2 linked regions of the Schizosaccharomyces pombe genome follow. The gene in region 2 interacts genetically with the main gene of each other region. Each region holds a gene or a part of one and is shown on either strand. Other genes may lie near its edges.

What was found. Genes that interact genetically often act in the same process or in processes that back each other up.
Region 1: of dhp1 (region 2) and din1, extra expression of one rescues a mutant of the other (dosage rescue), as found in Schizosaccharomyces pombe (one study listed by BioGRID).

The regions. Positions count from the first base shown.
Region 1 is NC_003424.3:5,219,720-5,223,547, forward strand, and holds din1 (RNA NAD-cap (NAD-forming) hydrolase/RNA pyrophosphohydrolase Din1), read right to left. Parts: upstream 1,668-3,828; 5' UTR 1,560-1,667; coding exon 501-1,559; downstream 1-500. Other genes in the region: DNA replication factor C complex subunit Ctf8, read right to left, coding at 1-128, 178-294; SPOM_SPAC19D5.10C (uncharacterized protein), read right to left, coding at 1,668-1,922, 1,992-2,000; uga1 (4-aminobutyrate aminotransferase (GABA transaminase)), read left to right, coding at 3,465-3,828. UniProt on the Schizosaccharomyces pombe protein: Decapping enzyme for NAD-capped RNAs: specifically hydrolyzes the nicotinamide adenine dinucleotide (NAD) cap from a subset of RNAs by removing the entire NAD moiety from the 5'-end of an NAD-capped RNA.
Region 2 is NC_003424.3:3,355,617-3,362,882, reverse strand, and holds dhp1 (5'-3' exoribonuclease Dhp1), read left to right. Parts: upstream 1-1,879; 5' UTR 1,880-1,990; coding exon 1,991-4,966; 3' UTR 4,967-5,133; coding exon of another isoform or gene 5,134-5,754; 3' UTR 5,755-5,803; coding exon of another isoform or gene 5,804-6,151; 3' UTR 6,152-6,739; downstream 6,740-7,266. Other genes in the region: Tf2-4 (retrotransposable element/transposon Tf2-type), read left to right, coding at 1-1,336; SPOM_SPAC26A3.11 (mitochondrial omega-amidase), read right to left, coding at 5,134-5,754, 5,804-6,151. UniProt on the Schizosaccharomyces pombe protein: Possesses 5'->3' exoribonuclease activity. Required for the processing of nuclear mRNA and rRNA precursors. May promote the termination of transcription by RNA polymerase II. Essential for vegetative cell growth and chromosome segregation.

The DNA of each region.
Region 1 (3,828 bases), 1.9 Mb from region 2:
TAGACATCGACAGGATCAGCGTTCGTCTTTTGCAAAACAGCTAGTGGTTTTTTCAACGATTCAACCACGCCCTCCATATACTGATTGCCAACAGTAAGTGTAGCTTTTTTCTTTTCGGAGTTTTTTTCCTAGATATTAGTTAGAAAAACAAAACTAGTTTAAAATTTCGATTCATACTTTAATGATTTTTAAATCTCCTATATGCAACGAATCTGCTTTTCTTTCCAATGTCGCTTGAACCTCAACGAGGTAAAGCTCATCATTAATTGCTCTTATAAGACGGATTTCTGACATCTATCTACCCTTTAGTATCCTAGAGAAATACTTTGGTTGATATCAATTTTTGAAATATTAGTTTGCGCTAAATAGCAGTGTCATCTAGGTATAGTGGAGATGAAAGAAAGAGTACATAAGAAAATGAGTTTGTATTAAATGCAATAAGCTTAGAAAACATCTAGTGTATAACCCTACTTTTTTATTATTTTACAAAATTAATAGATTTAAATTATTTGTCGTAAAACAAGTTTGGAACCGCCAGTATAAGAAAGTGTAAACTCGGTTGAAGGGGGATGTTGCTTTACGGTTTGCTTAATCCATTCTAACGCATGCTCAAGAACTACCAAGAGACGATTGGGAGTCCAATCATTTGGTTTGAAGTAAGGGCGCAACATTTTAGGTATTTGATGCGTAAAAAGTTCCTTCATTTCTATTAAGATGCCATTATCATCGCGAAATCCAATTATAATACGACCAATTCCTAATAAAAAACTTTGTGCCCAGTACTTTAATAGCTTTTTTCTCATTCCATAGTTCTCAAGGGGGTACTTTTTGGAGGTCTTGAGCTCAACGTAATGCAGGTTGGGATTTTCGGCATTGGATGCATCTTCTTCAATTGTTCCATCATCACTATGAACATCGCTTTCTTTAGCACTGCAGGGCTTTTTGTCCCAAATACAATCGACCTCGCCTGCGAGTATCAATTTTGACTTGCCGATATTGATCTTGACAATGGAGCAATACTGCTCGTCGGGCACAACATCTTGGTTGTCACGTTGCTCAATTTGGTCTCTCGAACAAGCATCCCATATTTCCGGAAGTGTGGAAATGGCTTCAAACTTATAACCCCAGTAACACATTCGGTCTTGGTTGGCATAACTAGTTTCCGATCGAGTTCGCTCTTCCATCATAATAATTCCACTGGTGGGATCCATAACCAGATAAGTTTCCCAATGGTTTCTGGGATCCAAAGGAGCGCACATAATTTTTGTAATTAAACCACGCCAAGTAAGAAAGCTGGAATTCATCTGAATGCCTTTAGTCATGAGCACGTCCTTTACAATAGAAATAGGATCAGGGTCGGATTTAGGAGGGTGAAACCTATTAGGAAATCCCGTGTTCAGATCGGAAAATAACGGTGGAGGATAATAATAACTTAACTTGCTATCATCAAGCAGCAGTTCGCGATCTCTCGATAAACTATAACAGGCAATTTCCAAAGGCTCCGAAACCGGTGGCACGTGAGCAGGAGGCACATCGTAAAACGAAAATTCACGAAGCATGAAGCACGACGAAATAAAACTGAATGAAGTTCAAAGATTTCAACAGCAATGTACGCATAGACTTGGAATATTATGGTAAAGAGTGCAAAGAGAAAAAGCAGATGTGGTTTACCCAATGTCAAACAAGGGAATAGTCAGAAATATTAGAAAAAGAGAGATGGAAAAAGAAAAGATATTGATACCATGAATTAAATGTCTCGACCAACTGGATTTTACACCAATTGTGCTGTCGTGCACGAAATTGGTGGTGGAGCTACCTAAGATTCTACCTTGTACCGAATAACACAATGCGATAGAATACAATACGGCAAGATGACTATTGAAAATGCTAATTACAATTTGGATAAAGAAAAGAGACGCTGACTAAAAATTAATGTAAAACGTTATCTACTAGTTTATGTGCTTTACCATTCTTATCTTTATTTTATATACCGTGTACATTTAGCTCTGCTATCATTATATAACAAATATCAATGACTGCACGTAAATATACATTAGGATTACAAGTTTTAATATGTTAAGTGGTGATTTGCAATCCCTTTGATCACGTTAACTTATTATTATGACGCGCAATTCATTCACGCTAACCTAAGATTATCAAAAAATTATCAGTCCAAAGATTGATCAAGCTTGGTCAAGCTAAATTATGGAGTGTTAGTGACTTGAAGCGATCGTCGAACCTTTCGTCAAATATCAAACGAGGAATGGTTGTAAACATTTTAGACAATAACTTATAAATTGCTATATAGCGTGTCATCAAACCCCCCTAGTGCGTTATTCTACAGGGAAGCAAAGGAAAGAGAAATACAAACGATTTGTTATTAGAAAAGTAATTTGGTAGAAGCTACAAATGTAGGGTAATTTTGAAAGAGAAAAGGAAATGTATTTCATGAAGGGGACGCATTAGAATTTACTATTTCCACCTCATATTCACTCTTAATATCCCAGATGTTTTTGTGACACTTTGAAAACAAGTACTTATTAATTGACTATGTGGTATAAACCCATGGATCAAAAACCATTAGTTAAACAATATTCTTAACGTTTTTGTATCGCAACGTTTTCGTATCGAAACGCTTTAGTATCGCTAATGTCAAAGATGAAAAAATCTAAATTATACGCATGCATATCTTGGCCACCTGTGCTAAAACCGCCTACCGTTTGTCCCAAACGTTTCAATCCCAACTGATAAAAAAAGTGATTTTCTCTTTAACTTAATAAAAATCTAAAGATTTATTTTCCACTCATCCTTTCAAAGGCAATCCGAGCGTTTTGCTATCTCCGTGAAATTTTTTCCTTTTGCCCATCGTGATTGATAATTTTTTGAACATATTCATCAGAATTGTCCATGCACATTCATTTACATCTACAATGATACCTCGATGTTCGTTTTTGCCAACCTTCTGAAGGATGCAAAGTCGCAGATGAAATCATGAGTTTCGTCTATTGTTTCTTTCGATCATCCGAATATCCCCATAGAAAATCGTTTGCCTTGCAAATTGGTATCGGTTGCCGATGGCCAAGTGTACCGACCACATTTTTTATCTATCACCGCTTAGCGAGCTGGATATGGGAAGTTTAGGAAATGTTGCCCGAGCATAGATTGTAATTGAGAAGGTTAAAATCCGCAATCAAAAGTTGGAAATTTGTCGTGCGAGACGAATTATAAAAGGAAAGCGATTTCCTACGAAAACAGCATCTTTTTTTAAAAAACAAAGTATTATCATTCACATTTTGAGGTTTTTGTTTTTTTGTTTCTTTTTTTTCCTGCTTTTGCATAGAACTTAGCAAAAGAGTTTCATTGTAAACATTTGTTTTTATTTTTTATTTTTATTTTTTTAATTTTACTTTCTACTGCCTTAAGTTAAGGTTCTCCTCCATTTAGACTATACTTTTCTATTCAACATGTCTTCTACTGCCACCGTTACTGAAAGCACTCATTTTTTTCCCAATGAGCCTCAAGGCCCTAGCATTAAGACCGAAACTATTCCCGGTCCCAAAGGTAAGGCCGCTGCTGAAGAAATGTCCAAATACCACGACATCAGCGCTGTCAAGTTTCCTGTAGACTATGAAAAGTCCATTGGTAACTATCTTGTCGACTTGGATGGTAACGTTCTCTTGGATGTTTACTCTCAAATCGCTACTATCCCCATTGGCTACAACAATCCTACTCTCCTCAAGGCTGCCAAGTCGGACGAAGTCGCTACCATTTTAATGAACCGTCCTGCTTTGGGAAATTACCCTCCTAAGGAATGGGCTCGTGTCGCTT
Region 2 (7,266 bases):
CCAACTCAAAGATGGCTTACTAATTAACAGTAAAGACCAAATCTTATTACCTAATGATACTCAGCTGACTAGGACAATTATTAAAAAGTATCATGAAGAAGGTAAATTGATTCATCCAGGCATTGAACTTCTTACAAACATTATATTACGTAGATTTACGTGGAAAGGAATAAGAAAACAAATACAAGAATATGTACAGAACTGCCATACATGTCAAATAAACAAATCTAGGAATCATAAACCTTATGGACCTTTACAACCAATTCCCCCATCAGAAAGACCTTGGGAATCTTTATCAATGGATTTTATTACAGCTTTACCAGAATCATCTGGTTATAATGCACTTTTCGTGGTAGTTGACCGATTTTCAAAAATGGCAATCTTAGTACCTTGTACGAAATCCATTACAGCAGAGCAAACAGCTCGAATGTTTGATCAACGAGTTATTGCTTATTTCGGCAATCCAAAAGAAATCATTGCAGATAATGATCATATTTTTACTTCCCAAACGTGGAAAGATTTCGCACATAAATATAATTTCGTTATGAAATTTTCGTTACCATACAGACCACAAACTGATGGACAAACTGAGCGTACAAACCAAACTGTGGAGAAATTACTAAGATGTGTATGTAGCACACATCCAAATACATGGGTAGATCATATATCCCTAGTGCAACAATCTTACAACAATGCGATACATTCAGCAACTCAAATGACACCTTTTGAGATAGTACATCGCTATTCACCAGCTTTATCACCTTTAGAGTTACCTAGCTTTAGTGACAAAACTGACGAAAACTCTCAGGAAACGATCCAAGTATTTCAAACAGTTAAAGAACACTTGAATACAAACAACATAAAGATGAAAAAGTATTTCGATATGAAAATACAAGAAATTGAAGAATTTCAACCTGGAGACCTAGTTATGGTCAAAAGAACGAAAACAGGTTTTCTTCATAAATCCAATAAATTAGCACCTAGTTTTGCAGGACCGTTCTATGTGTTACAGAAGTCGGGTCCAAACAACTATGAATTGGATCTTCCAGATTCAATCAAGCACATGTTTTCATCTACTTTTCATGTTTCTCACCTAGAAAAGTATCGACATAATTCAGAACTCAATTACGCTACCATTGATGAGTCTGATATTGGAACAATTCTTCATATCCTAGAACATAAAAACAGAGAACAAGTACTCTACTTAAATGTCAAGTACATTTCGAATCTAAATCCGAGTACTATTATGTCAGGATGGACTACATTAGCTACAGCGCTACAAGCGGACAAAGCAATTGTCAATGATTATATTAAAAACAATAATCTAAATATCTGAGAACATATGACTTATCCTCAGATTTACATAGAAAATCTTGGGGAGGGCAATGTCAGCAATACTACACTACGCTATAATACACTACGTTGAGTATCACTATATGTCACATGTTCTAATTATATATCGTACCATGTATGATACGATATGGAGATTGATCTTAATGATAATCTATTAAGATCAATATTATCTGAATACTATAAATAGAGCTACTGCTGAACCTCGTTCCTCAGTTCAGTTATGAGCTATATTAGTGATAGGTAACATTATAACCCAGTTAATACAATACCTATACTCAGTTGCTACTTATACAACCTGTGTATTGTAATATAATAGATCACAAGGAAAACTCACCGCAGTTCTACGTATCCTTAAATCAGATACCAAACTGCGTAGCTTACACTTAAGAGACTAGATTTTAACTATTGTATAGCGAGTACGTTAGTAATTTCCAATTTACTCCAATGTGCGTTAAAAAATTTAGGTAGGACTGCGGAGACTACGCTAGATCTAGATTAAAATACCTAAATATTAAATCTTCAACTTATACTACACTCGTAGTCTTTAGTATCTAAAATTTACCAATTTGGGCTTTTTTGAAGCATTTGGTTTGGAGAAGATTTATTCGATTGAGTATTTTCTCCTTTACACCAAAAAATGGGTGTTCCAGCACTTTTCCGCCTTTTGTCGAGGAAATTCGCAAAGGTCATTACACCTGTTATTGAGGCTCCTACTGAAAAGCTTCCAGATGGTACTGAAATTGAACCAGATTTAAGTCTTCCCAATCCAAACGGAGTGGAATGCGACAACTTGTATTTGGATATGAATGGTATTGTTCATCCTTGTTCCCATCCTGAAGATCGCCCCGCTCCAGAGACTGAAGACGAGATGATGGTTGCTGTCTTTGAATACACGGATCGTATTCTTGCCATGGTTCGTCCTCGTCAGTTATTGTTCATTGCAATCGATGGCGTGGCTCCTAGAGCCAAAATGAATCAGCAGAGATCACGTCGTTTTCGTTCTTCTCGTGAAGCAGCTCTCAAAGAAGAAGAATTACAAGCCTTCATTGAGGAGGCAAAACAACAGGGAATTCCCATCGACGAAAACGCTACGAAGAAAAAATCTTGGGACAGTAATTGCATTACCCCCGGCACACCTTTCATGGACACTTTGGCCAAGTCTCTTCGTTACTACATAATAAATAAACTAAATAGTGATCCGTGCTGGAGAAATGTCAGATTTATACTTTCTGACGCCTCGGTTCCTGGTGAAGGTGAGCATAAGATCATGGAATTTATTCGATCTCAACGAGTGAAACCAGAGTATGATCCAAATACACACCACGTTGTTTACGGTTTAGATGCAGACCTAATTATGCTTGGTTTGGCTACTCATGAACCCCATTTTCGTGTATTGCGTGAAGATGTCTTCTTTCAACAAGGAAGTACTAAAAAGACAAAGGAAGAGCGTCTTGGCATCAAGAGACTTGATGATGTTTCTGAGACCAATAAGGTTCCTGTAAAAAAACCATTTATATGGCTCAACGTTAGCATTTTGAGGGAGTATCTAGAAGTGGAACTTTATGTCCCCAATTTACCTTTTCCATTTGACTTAGAACGTGCGATTGACGACTGGGTCTTCTTTATCTTTTTTGTGGGTAATGATTTTCTTCCTCATTTGCCTAGTTTAGATATTCGTGATGGTGCCGTAGAGCGGTTGACTGAAATATGGCGAGCTAGTCTTCCGCACATGGGTGGTTATCTTACTTTGGATGGTTCTGTTAATTTAGCTCGTGCTGAAGTCATTCTGAGTGCTGTAGGTAACCAGGAAGATGATATTTTTAAGCGTCTTAAACAGCAAGAAGATCGTCGTAACGAAAACTATAGACGCCGTCAACAACGCGAGTCAAATCAGGAATCAGAATCTTATGTTGACAACGTCGTAATTCAGCGTTCAGTTGAGACGCAATCGACAGAAGTTGTTACCTCTTCTAAATCAACTTCTGTTGATACTAAACCGCCAAAGAAAACTCAAAAAATTGACGCTCCGGCTCCAGTGGATTTGGTTAATTTGTCTGAAAAAACTTCAAATCGATCTCTAGGCGCTACTAATAGAGAATTAATTAATAATCGCGCTGCTAACCGTCTTGGACTTTCTAGGGAAGCAGCTGCTGTTTCTTCAGTTAACAAATTGGCGGCCTCTGCATTGAAAGCTCAGTTGGTTTCAAATGAGACACTACAAAATGTTCCTTTGGAAGACAGCATAGCTTCATCCAGTGCATATGAAGATACCGATAGTATTGAATCTAGTACCCCTGTTGTACATCCAATAGACACAAAAGTTTCAAATGTGGGTCAGAAGAGAAAGGCCCCAGATTCGACTGAAGAAAATGAAAATACTGATACAGTCCGCCTGTATGAGCCTGGATACCGCGAACGGTATTATGAACAAAAATTCCACATTTCACCCGATGAACCAGAAAAAATTCGTGAAGCTGTTAAACATTATGTTCATGGATTGTGCTGGGTTCTTTTGTATTATTATCAAGGCTGTCCATCTTGGACCTGGTATTATCCATATCATTATGCTCCTTTTGCCGCTGATTTCAAAGATTTGGCCTCCATAGATGTAAAATTTGAACTAAATCAACCCTTCAAGCCTTACGAACAATTACTAGGCGTTTTACCTGCTGCTAGTAAAAATAATTTACCTGAAAAATTGCAAACTCTTATGACTGATGAAAACTCTGAAATTATTGACTTTTACCCGGAAAATTTTACTATTGATTTAAACGGGAAAAAATTTGAATGGCAGGGAGTTGCTCTTTTACCATTTATAGATGAAAATCGGCTTTTGAATGCTGTATCAAAAATCTATCCTCAACTTACCGAGGAAGAGTCAAAAAGAAATGAGGATGGTTCTACTTTATTATTTATTTCTGAACATCATCCAATGTTTAGCGAACTTGTCAAACAACTTTACTCCAAGAAACGTCAAGGTAAACCACTTAAGTTATCCGGAAAGATGGCACATGGATTGTTTGGCAAAGTTAACACCAATGATTCCGTAATTCCCAATGTATCCGTTCAATGCCCAATTGATGTTACATCCGCTGACGCCCTTCAGAAGTATGGAAGCATAGATGATAATCAATCTATAAGTCTTGTGTTTGAAGTACCTAAATCGCATTTCGTACATAAATCCATGCTTTTAAGGGGAGTGAAAATGCCGAACAGGGTGTTAACCCCAGAAGATATCAACCAAGTACGTGCAGAGAGGAGCTTTTCTTCCCGCCGAAACAATGGTAATTCGTATCGTGGAGGACACCAAAGTTATGGTGTCCGACGCTCTTACCAATCGCAAAGTTACAGTAGTCGACAGAGCTACACTGGAGTTACTAATGGTTTTGCAAACGGTGGAGTTCAACCTCCTTGGTCTGGTAATGGCAATTTTCCTCGTTCTAATGCAAGCTATAACTCTCGCGGCGGCCACGAAGGATACGGCGGGCGCTCGAGAGGTGGTGGTTATTCGAATGGACCGCCAGCTGGTAACCACTATAGTAGTAATCGCGGAAAGGGTTACGGCTATCAGCGAGAATCCTATAACAATAATAACAGGAATGGCTACTATTAATACATTTAAGTTTTCTTAGTACAATTTTGAAAGCGGGTTTGGGATATTGGAGATAAATAATATATCTGATTATTTGAATTTCATTGGCACATTGCATAATTAGTTATGCAATTCAGTTACAAAATGCATGTTGATAACATAAAATTATACTCAACAACTATACCGATCTATTCCTCTTTCTTAAGAGCAGGTAATACTTCTGAATAAACATCAAAGCGGCGTTGAGTATAGATAGGAACGCTGTTTCGAGCGGTAGACATGACAGAGGGATCAATATCTGCGTAAACGATAGACGGTTTTTCATCAGTAGTAGCAATAACTTTTCCGAAAGGGTCTACAACAGTAGAATGTCCCCATGAATGATAGTCAGCGTTCATATCTCTAGCAGGGGCACAGCAAGCAACGAACATCTCATTATCAACTGCTCGGGCTCGTGCAAGTAGTTCCCAATGTAAAGGGCCTGTGGACAAATTAAATGCTCCAGGGTAAATCATCACACTACAGCCATTTCTAGCTGCTATCATAGCGAGTTCCGGAAATCGTATATCGTAACAAATACCCAAACCAAACTTCCCGTATTCAGTGTCAACCATAGTCATGGCGTCGCCAGGTGAAAGACTATCAGATTCGCGGAAGCTAACTCCACCAGGAATGTCAATATCGAATAAATGAATTTTCCGATGAACGGCTATCAATTTTCCAGAAGGATCAAACACCATTGCAGTGTTGTATAATTTGCCATCCTTGCGTTCAGGAATAGAACCGCCAAATAAGTAAGTCTTAGTATCCTACAGTACCGTTAGTCTCACATAATCAACGAAAATTAAATTAACAAACCTTTGCCATAGAGGATAAAGCTTGGTAAGAAGGAGATGATTCCTCTATAGGTTCAGCATACTGATTAAAGTAACCAGTACCATATGGTGAATTGAAAATTTCTGGTAATACAATGACATTAGAACCGTTTTTAGCGGCTTCCAATACTTTTAAACGAGCGAGTTGTAAATTTTCGCTCTTGTCTTTGGTATTGGCAAGCTGAACCAAGCCAATACGAAAAGCACGAAAATCTTTAGGAACCAGAGATGAAGCTGAGACAGACATGATGTTCCTTGTATAGCAAAAATTTAATGAAGGAAAAAAGGATCTTGTGCCTTTTTGAACGAGTCCAAAAAATTTACTGTTCATATAAACAATCACCGACTTGAAATTTTAGGTGAAGGAAGAGGAATGAGTAGAAAGCAAAGATACGAGGGAAGATGTCCTGATTTGTAGGCTAGTCTCAGAATATCTAGCTTGCGATAATTTTGAGCTCCAAAATATTATATTCCTGAAATCTCAATGTAACTTATTAAGCACGTGGCTAGCGAAATCCTCCAATCCAAATTACACCTTGTTATCAAAAAGAAATTTAGCAAGGTGATCAAACTTCCATGTCTTTGATAAGAAGAATGTCGACATCAAACTAGTTTTCAATCTATTGTAAATCTAAAGAAGAAAAAGGGATTTACATTCAAGCAGCAACTACACAAATAGAAATCGTTGTTTGAATGTTACGGAAGGCAAGACCAAAAAAATTGTTTTTGTTTATCTACAAGTTACAAAAGAATGATATTTATTACTGTGTCAACTAGTTTATAGGTAATGATAATATCGTCTGTCATTTTTAGAAAAAGGGGATTCAATTACTATAGATATTCAGTTGTTCCGAATGTGTTGAAAAATAAAATCTTAAGCGTCTTCGTTTCGCAAAAGAAGAAAATAAATGTTATAATAGCTCGAATGAACTGTTTGGCATACATGTTAATTTCACGTATATTGAATATTGATCTTGTTCAATAACAAATGAACTTATGGCATGCATAAGATCCATCAATCGAGAAGAGCCTAAAAATCGCATTTGAATGCGTATTTAAAGAAAGAATAGCTGTATCCTTAGTCAAAAAATTTTGTATTGAAAGAAAAAAGATTAAGAGTATAATGAAAATAAAGAGGAAAAGAAAGTTCGAAAACCAAAAGATGACCAAGAAAATAATGAGTAAATTACGTTGTTTAGCAAACAACCAAAATAAATTGCAATAATAAATTATAGAATTAACACATGATCCGAATAAGAGTAAAGCTGTGGAGATTAATAAGCTCTCCATTCAAATTCGTTGCGCTTCAAATCATGGAATTCACGGAAATCCGAAATGAAATGACACCTGAATAGATATTGAAATAGATGGTAAAAAGAAAGAATGAATTCGATTGGAAAAATGAACATAAAAGATGATTTGATGCAAAAAGTAAAAATGCTTCTC